Linked DNA regions of Arabidopsis thaliana. The protein of the gene in region 2 interacts with the protein of the main gene of each other region in a pairwise test. Each region holds a gene or a part of one and is shown on either strand. Other genes may lie near its edges. The genes, in order: VOZ1 and HSFA6A.

Region 1 (3,928 bases), on a different chromosome or scaffold from region 2:
ATCCCTAGCTTATTTTGAATTTGAGTTGGATGTTTTGTCACATATGATATAGAAATCTATTATGGTGACATTGAATTCACCTTGGAGACCTTAAAGAAAAGAAAAAGAAGGAAAAAAACTTCTCCACTGTCACTAATTTGGTCCGGATCAAAGATAAAGTGTAGTGGTGGACCGATCTATATTCCAACCAGGGATATATAAGATGTAAGGTGCATACTCAAAGAAAATATTGTCAATAATTGGCTGTTTAACTGTGATTAATATATAATCGTACTCAGTCAAGAATTGGTTGTTTAAAATTAGTGGAGATATTATTTCTTATAACCTAGTTAAAAGTTGAATTTGAATATTTTTTTAGAGTTCATACGACGAACATTATGTATTTGAAATGAGAATAATAAGCAATAATAGATAAAGAACGATAGAATATGACCATTGAAGAAATTGAAAGTAGATGGTATGATGAAAATTGATGAGCATCACAAGATAGGAATATGGAAAACATAGTGGAGAAAAGCTAAGTTATATTCCTTCCTTGCCAATATCTCCTTCTTTTACACCTTCTTGTATCTTAAAAGAAAATAATAATAACTTAGTATTCACGACACTTGTCCAAATTCTTTACCCAAGATTCCTTTGTTATGCTTGTTTGTTTTTTCCTCCAAAAGTAATGCAAATTTACATTAGGTACAAACAATCTCATTGTTAAAACTCATTGAAAGGATATAAGAAAACAAATGGGTCCAAATTATTTTAAGAAATGACCAATTGTCAAGCGCAACCAAAATTACGGTTATCAATCTAATTGACTTATCTTGAAAATATAATACGTTACATTTCCAATATTCCTTTTTTATTATCAAATTACGTTACATGTAGTCGTAGACTTGAGCACTAATTAGCCGTTGAATCAAAATCTTTAACGTGGTTCTACTACGATGCTATCATAAAGTCTATGTCAATTTATCAACAAAATATACATTCTCGAAAGAAATGTTATCATGAATCGTTTTTTAGTTTTTTTTTCCTACGACTACAAGTACAGCTACGCAAAGTTGCAAACCACTCCCCTCCATACACATTAACTTGGACTAAACCCGATGATCATACAATGTCACAAATTTTAGCGTTACTACATTAGTCTTAACATTTTCTAATATTTGCAAATGTTCCATCCCTAAAATGGATGGTAGTTTTAATTTCAAAGCCTTTTTTTACACTTTTTTGTTTGGTATTTGTTTTAATTTTCTCGTATGTATAAAATTTGCTTAGCTTTAGCCTATCTTGAATTCTATCATCGCATATTCGCATGGTTATATTATATCTTACAAATCGTGTGACCCAAACTCTGATTTTGGAAAAATTCTTGGCGACTTCCCTAATGTATTACATAGTCTAAAGAAAAACTTAAATTTCTAACTCAAATAGTATTTAAATTTCCTCAAATAAGGAGCAAGTAGTGTATGGAGCCAATAGCATTGAAGAAAATGCCTAATTTTCTAAAGCATATGTGCAACAAAAAAAAAAAAAAAACATAATTGAACTCTGGTTAGTTTAGAAAACAAAACAAAAAAAAAAGATTATTTACACAACAAATAGTAAATTTTAAATGCTCATTTAATATTTCTTAATATAAATAAATGCTATAAAGAGAAAAAATGAACAATAAAAAGAAAAGAATCCATAATAAACAGTCCAAATGGCATTTTTTTCCAAAATAATCATTAAATTCCTTAAACATTTCCCCACAATTTGATAATTTTTAAATTTTTATATTTTCTCATAAATTAGTACATTGAATTTAGCTCATAAAAAAGGAAAAAGAAAAGTGGAGGGTGAAGAGAAGAAGAGAATCCAGCAACGTTTCTTTATTTCCTTTGTGTTTTTTTTTCTTCATAATCTCTCTCTTTTTATTTATTCATAATTTTTACTCTCTCCATTTCTTCATTACTCTTCTTTTTATTTTCCGGAGATTTTTCTCTTTGCCTTTGTTATTTGCTGCTTTTGCTGCAGCTACAGTGTAAGTTTGATTTTCTGGGTTCCTTCAAACTCCAAAATCTCGCGTCGCTTTTTGCTTCAGAATCGATTTGTTCTTGTTACTTCGATCTGTTGTTCTTTTTAACTCTGTGCATGATTCAATTTCGTGTTCGTAACCTGTTTTTTGCTGCTTGTTTAGTTCGACAATTAGGTAAAAAAATGACGATCCCTAAAACTTATGATCCTTTTAATCTTCGTTTAGCTACTTCGTTCGAGATCATCTAGGGCTTTTGTTGCTTCATCGATTTTGGGTTTTGATTTACTGTAAATGTTTTGGTTTTGTTTATGTAATCTAAGCATGTACCAATGATTCATGAGTGATCATGTTTGTTATAGGAGCAGAACTGATGTGAAGTGTGTATTTTGAATGTGTTTTTGGTTTTGTACAGAGAATCTTGTGTTTTTGTGGTGGGGAGGTGAGATTTCTTATGACGGGGAAGCGATCAAAGACTAATTGCAGATCTGCTTCTCACAAGCTCTTCAAGGATAAGGCTAAGAACCGTGTTGATGATTTGCAAGGCATGCTTTTGGATCTTCAGTTTGCGAGGAAAGAGAGTAGGCCTACTGATGTTACTCTTCTTGAGGAGCAAGTGAATCAGATGCTTCGTGAGTGGAAATCTGAGCTCAATGAGCCTTCTCCAGCTTCATCCTTGCAACAAGTATGCTTTCGTTTGTTTCAAATTTGCAATCTTGTTGTTTCTTCTGACTTGCATGGGTGATTTAGTTTTCTTTGTTGTTTCAGTCATTGTTAGCTGTGTCATTTTGTTTTGCTTAAGCAGGGTGGTACTCTGGGGTCTTTCTCATCAGATATTTGTCGGCTGCTGCAGCTCTGTGATGAGGAAGATGATGCTACCAGCAAATTAGCTGCCCCCAAGCCCGAGCCTGCTGATCAGAATCTCGAAGCTGGCAAAGCTGCTGTCTTCCAAAGGGTGAGTTGCTCTTTAGAACCAGTTTTTAATGGTGCTTTAGTTGTGTTTGGAGTCCATTATTTTGTTTAAATACTGAGATCGTGGTGAAAGTTTTCAGGGATACAATTTGGTTCAGGGGAAGTCAGAACATGGATTACCATTGGTTGATAATTGCAAAGATTTGTCCTTAGCAGCTGGTAACAATTTCGATGGAACGGCTCCTTTGGAGTATCATCAGCAGTATGATCTGCAACAAGAGTTTGAACCAAACTTCAATGGTGGTTTCAACAATTGTCCCAGTTATGGTGTAGTAGAGGGTCCTATACATATCTCTAATTTTATCCCGACTATTTGTCCTCCACCCTCTGCATTCTTGGGTCCAAAATGTGCTCTTTGGGATTGCCCTAGGCCAGCTCAGGGATTTGATTGGTTCCAGGATTACTGCAGCAGCTTCCACGCTGCACTGGCTTTCAATGAAGGGCCACCAGGTATGAATCCGGTGGTGCGTCCTGGAGGTATCGGCCTAAAAGACGGTCTGCTTTTTGCTGCTCTTAGTGCAAAGGCTGGAGGGAAAGATGTTGGTATTCCCGAATGTGAAGGAGCTGCAACTGCTAAATCTCCATGGAATGCTCCAGGTAGGCTTTACTCTCTTGGAATTCATTCACAAGTATGTTAATTGATCACCATTCTTGAGCTGATCATACTCAAATCTTGATGACTGTAGAGCTCTTTGATCTCACGGTTCTGGAGAGTGAGACACTAAGGGAGTGGCTATTCTTTGACAAGCCAAGGAGGGCCTTTGAGAGCGGGAACAGAAAGCAAAGATCTTTACCAGACTACAATGGTCGTGGTTGGCACGAGTCACGTAAACAGATCATGGTCGAGTTTGGAGGGCTGAAGAGATCTTACTACATGGATCCACAGCCTCTGCACCATTTCGAATGGCATCTTTACGAATATGAGATCAACAAGTGTGATGCTTG
Region 2 (3,928 bases):
AGAGAAAATTTTCCTAAGATGGAGGAATTAATTTATTTAGTAGTAACGTATAAAAAAGGCTTTATTTGAGGGAAGAATCTAATGGTACAAATGAGGATAAGATTTATAAAAATAAAGTCATGAAAATGACGTGGCGAGTACGTGCACTCGATTATTAATAATTAAAAATAAAATTAAATCGAGGAAAGCCACATGGGTGATCATAAAAGGCAATATCTCTTAAATAAAAGGTCAATCCAACGGTTCGATTCGTCACGCGCTTCGATCGAAACGTATAACTGACTTAAATTAAAATAATTGTATCGTATTTTAGCTACTTTTTAAAATTGACAGCAATAAAATTTGTGTAAAAATGTAAATACTTTATAGTTAGTGCTCAGGAGAAATAAAATGTTGATAGACGTCTTTGAACAATCAATGGAGTGGAAGGTGTGGCCGAATTAGTCAATTTGTTAACAAATGCCAAGGCCAAATATTTTGTTGGGCTTTTAGTTTGGCCCAAATTGTATACAATGCTTGATGACAAACTCGGAAAAAAAAAGCAAAAAAACAAAAAAAAACCTCTCATAATACATTAGTTTATTATATAAAATGTTCCACTAAATCACACATCTCCTCCTCACTCAACACGAAACCCTTCCAAATTCCTTCACTATCCATTTCAATTTCATCCTCCCCTTGTCCTTGATGCTCCATTGAAGCTATGTGAAGCTCATCACCATAATCAAACACACCTCCACATTGATCATCGATGTCATCACCATACTCTTCTGGCTCAGCTTTAACAAACTTTCCATTATCCTCAACACCATGGCTTGAGATCACCTCTTGCTTTTGCTCTCGATTCTTGATTCCTTGCAGATTACGTTTCCTTAAGCTCTGTAAAAAACTCGGTTTCTTAATCTTCTTTAGCAAGAAATTCATCATCATTTCTTGCTTTACTTCTGTGACTTTCAGTTTCTCTTCCATCAAATGCAGATATGTCTTCACGCTTTCTTGTTTTCGTCGCAGTCTAACCAGTTCTACTTCTAAAGCCATTCTGTCTCTTCGCAGCTCATGGATCTCTCCTTCTAGCGACTGCGTTTGCGTTTGAGATGATGTCTTTCTTCTCTTGATGTTCTTAAGAAGATGCCTCTCTCCCTTCAGAAAATGCTCATTTGCAAATTCCCATCTCTCTGTATCAATCTTCTTAAACCCCTACAGATCATTAAACAAAGATTTAATTTTTAATGAAGATCAAAATAACCAAGACAAAAACTCAAAAGTAGTTACGTACATAAGTATTGAGCTGTCTAACAAAGCTGGAGAAATTATTGTGCTTAAAGCATCTAGGGAGGCAAATTAGGGCAAAAGTCTCTGGTTCCCAAACAATGAAGCTGTTGTTGTCTCTGCTCCATGAAACTATGTTGTTTGTGCTTGAATCCTCCACTATGTTGTATGTTTTCGTCAAGAAAGCCGTTGGTGGCGTTTCTTTGAGACCCTCTAATGGAATTGGAAGGTTATAATCCATTTTGTGAACAAAAAACCTATATAAATTTGAGCTTTTTTAATAAAAAAAGAGAGAGGAGAGAATAGTTGTGATGAATAGCTGAAGCTTGAGGATGCTTTTATGCTGTCTATATTTTTGGGGTTTAATATTTTTGGATAGAAATGTATTGCTTTTGAGTGTTTTGGATAAGTCTATTTATTAGTTATCTTTGATGTGGACAAAGCCGATTTGCTATAAATGGAAATGAGAGATCATAGTGTCATACATTCATTGGAAGATGCTACTTTTGTGTTCTTTTGTCTTCTATGAATATCAGAAAATCTAAAATTTAATTAATCATTATAAATTTAGTGACTATGCTCCAACATTTATAAGCTTCGTTTTCGCCCATGACACGTTGTAGTGAATGCATAGAGATACGTTTCGTGGTTTGTTTGTTTATTCTGAAGTCAGAATGATGGGATTTTTGGTGGAACCCTTTGAAAGATTTGTGTAGAGAACAAGAGTATCCTTTGAAAATTTGATTGATCCTTGATTCAATTGAATTGGGTTGGGGGAAAACCAGATCTAACCACACCAAATCAAACGGTTAAGCACGACACAAGCAGAATTATACATTATATATATATATACAATTAATATATTGATAATGCATAATTTTAAGAAGATTTTGTAAAGAAGAGGTCATTTCAAATATAAGAAAATTTATGCTTTAACTTTTGAAGTACACTAACACTATATAAGTAATAATACTTGAATTACAGTTTGGAAAGCTCAAATAATTTATTCGAAAATCGTAGGGTTTTTTTAGTTATAAATTTCACGTTCGCAGCTGACATTTGTTTTTTAATGATACTTATTAGATAAATACACACTATTTTTTTTATGTATAAAAGCATACATCGCAAAAGTATGTTACAAGAACAACTATCCAGAAGGAGCCGCTGTTTTTATTTTACTGCTTAAGACTAAAGAGTAAACAATACATACAAATTACACAACAAGCATATATTAATATTGTTAATGTGCTTTAACGGTTTCTCCAAACTTGTAGGTTAAGCCGTGGATATACTTTTTCCTAACAGGATGTTCTTCCTGTGGCCGGTTATATGGTGTCCAAACCGGTTCCCCCACGAACAGCCTCATTAGCTGCAAAACCAAACCACCATACATCACAAACCAACAATCAAATCTTTTAACATAAGATATTAAGATGTAATATTTCATTTGCGTATTCATATAAATTAGTAAATTAGTATAGAGACTGAGTTTGGCTTTTTGTACCTTGATGTAGTTGCTGGCGTCGAGTGTGAACCGGTGGTAGATTCCGGCAGGAAGGACAATGAGATCGCCAGGTTGCATCCAGATACGGATCCAACGATCATCCTTGTCCCTAACATCAAAGTAGCCACTTCCTGCTAGGCAGTACCGAATCTCTTCGTCCTTGTGAATGTGTTCTGTGAAAAAGTTCTTCAGCTTTTCTTCGTAGTTGCTGACTTTCTCGGGACACAGATCCAGCAAATCCTAAAATGAAGATTAACCAAAGTAATCATTCTGCTTGAGAAAATTAGTTTATAGCTCATAAGTTACAATGCTACACACCACACAAATAGCTTAATTATTTTTAACGTAAACCAAACGTTTTAATGTTCCCTTAATACTCAATTACAGAGAAGCCTTCTTCCTTAATAAGCTGGTTTCTAAAATGTTTGTAGTCATACTACCCCTTAATGGTTATGCAAGATTATAGTCCTACTGTCCTATGATACATGTTTTTTTTTTTCATGAGATTAGCGTGCAGAGATAACAAGTAAAGGAACTGAAACATCAATAGCCGCTTATGGTGAGCATGAGTTAAAAAAGGGTGATCAGAAAGACATAAGCCGTAGCAAATCCTGTACTCTAATACTCATAAGGCTTCTTTCTTCATAGGCTGGTTTTGTAAGGTTTGAGTACTACCTTCATTATGTAGTCCTACACTCCTACTGTGTCTAGTATATGTCACAATCGTTAATCTCATGAGATCAACATGCAACGATATGCAACAAGTTAAAAAACAGAGACATTCAATTGGCATTTATGATGAGCATGAGTGTTCCTAAGTTAAGAAAAAACAGTGATCAGGAAGAGATAATATGCGTACCATGTAATCGTAACCCCTGTCTTCTCTAATCTTGCTAAGTTCAGAATCATTCTCGTAGTTCTCAGGGTTCAACTTCCAGTACAACACTCCCAACTCTACAAAACACAACAACTATATTTGTGATATTTGCATAATTTATGATTCTGTTAAATCTCATCTTGGGTAAATTTGACCATTTCCTTAGTTTTAAGACGGTTTACGTTTAGTTTCCTCATGTAGAATCACTACTCAATACAATAAAGCATGAAAGATTGATGTTTTTCAAAAGTTGCAAAGTAAGAGTAATTTTTAAGGTA

The links.
Region 1: the proteins of HSFA6A (region 2) and VOZ1 interact in a two-hybrid assay, tested with the Arabidopsis thaliana proteins (one study listed by BioGRID).

What each region holds. Positions count from the first base shown.
Region 1 is NC_003070.9:10,027,248-10,031,175, forward strand, and holds the start of VOZ1 (vascular plant one zinc finger protein), read left to right. Parts: upstream 1-1,835; 5' UTR 1,836-2,020; exon of another isoform or gene 2,021-2,426; 5' UTR 2,427-2,465; coding exon 2,466-2,696; intron 2,697-2,816; coding exon 2,817-2,966; intron 2,967-3,063; coding exon 3,064-3,580; intron 3,581-3,669; coding exon 3,670-3,928. UniProt on the Arabidopsis thaliana protein: Transcriptional activator acting positively in the phytochrome B signaling pathway. Functions redundantly with VOZ2 to promote flowering downstream of phytochrome B (phyB). Down-regulates 'FLOWERING LOCUS C' (FLC) and up-regulates 'FLOWERING LOCUS T' (FT).
Region 2 is NC_003076.8:17,624,855-17,628,782, forward strand, and holds HSFA6A (heat shock transcription factor A6A), read right to left. Parts: upstream 1,634-3,928; 5' UTR 1,511-1,633; coding exon 1,277-1,510; intron 1,198-1,276; coding exon 583-1,197; 3' UTR 499-582; downstream 1-498. Other genes in the region: ARD4 (RmlC-like cupins superfamily protein), read right to left, coding at 2,510-2,638, 2,774-3,013, 3,633-3,727. UniProt on the Arabidopsis thaliana protein: Transcriptional activator that specifically binds DNA sequence 5'-AGAAnnTTCT-3' known as heat shock promoter elements (HSE).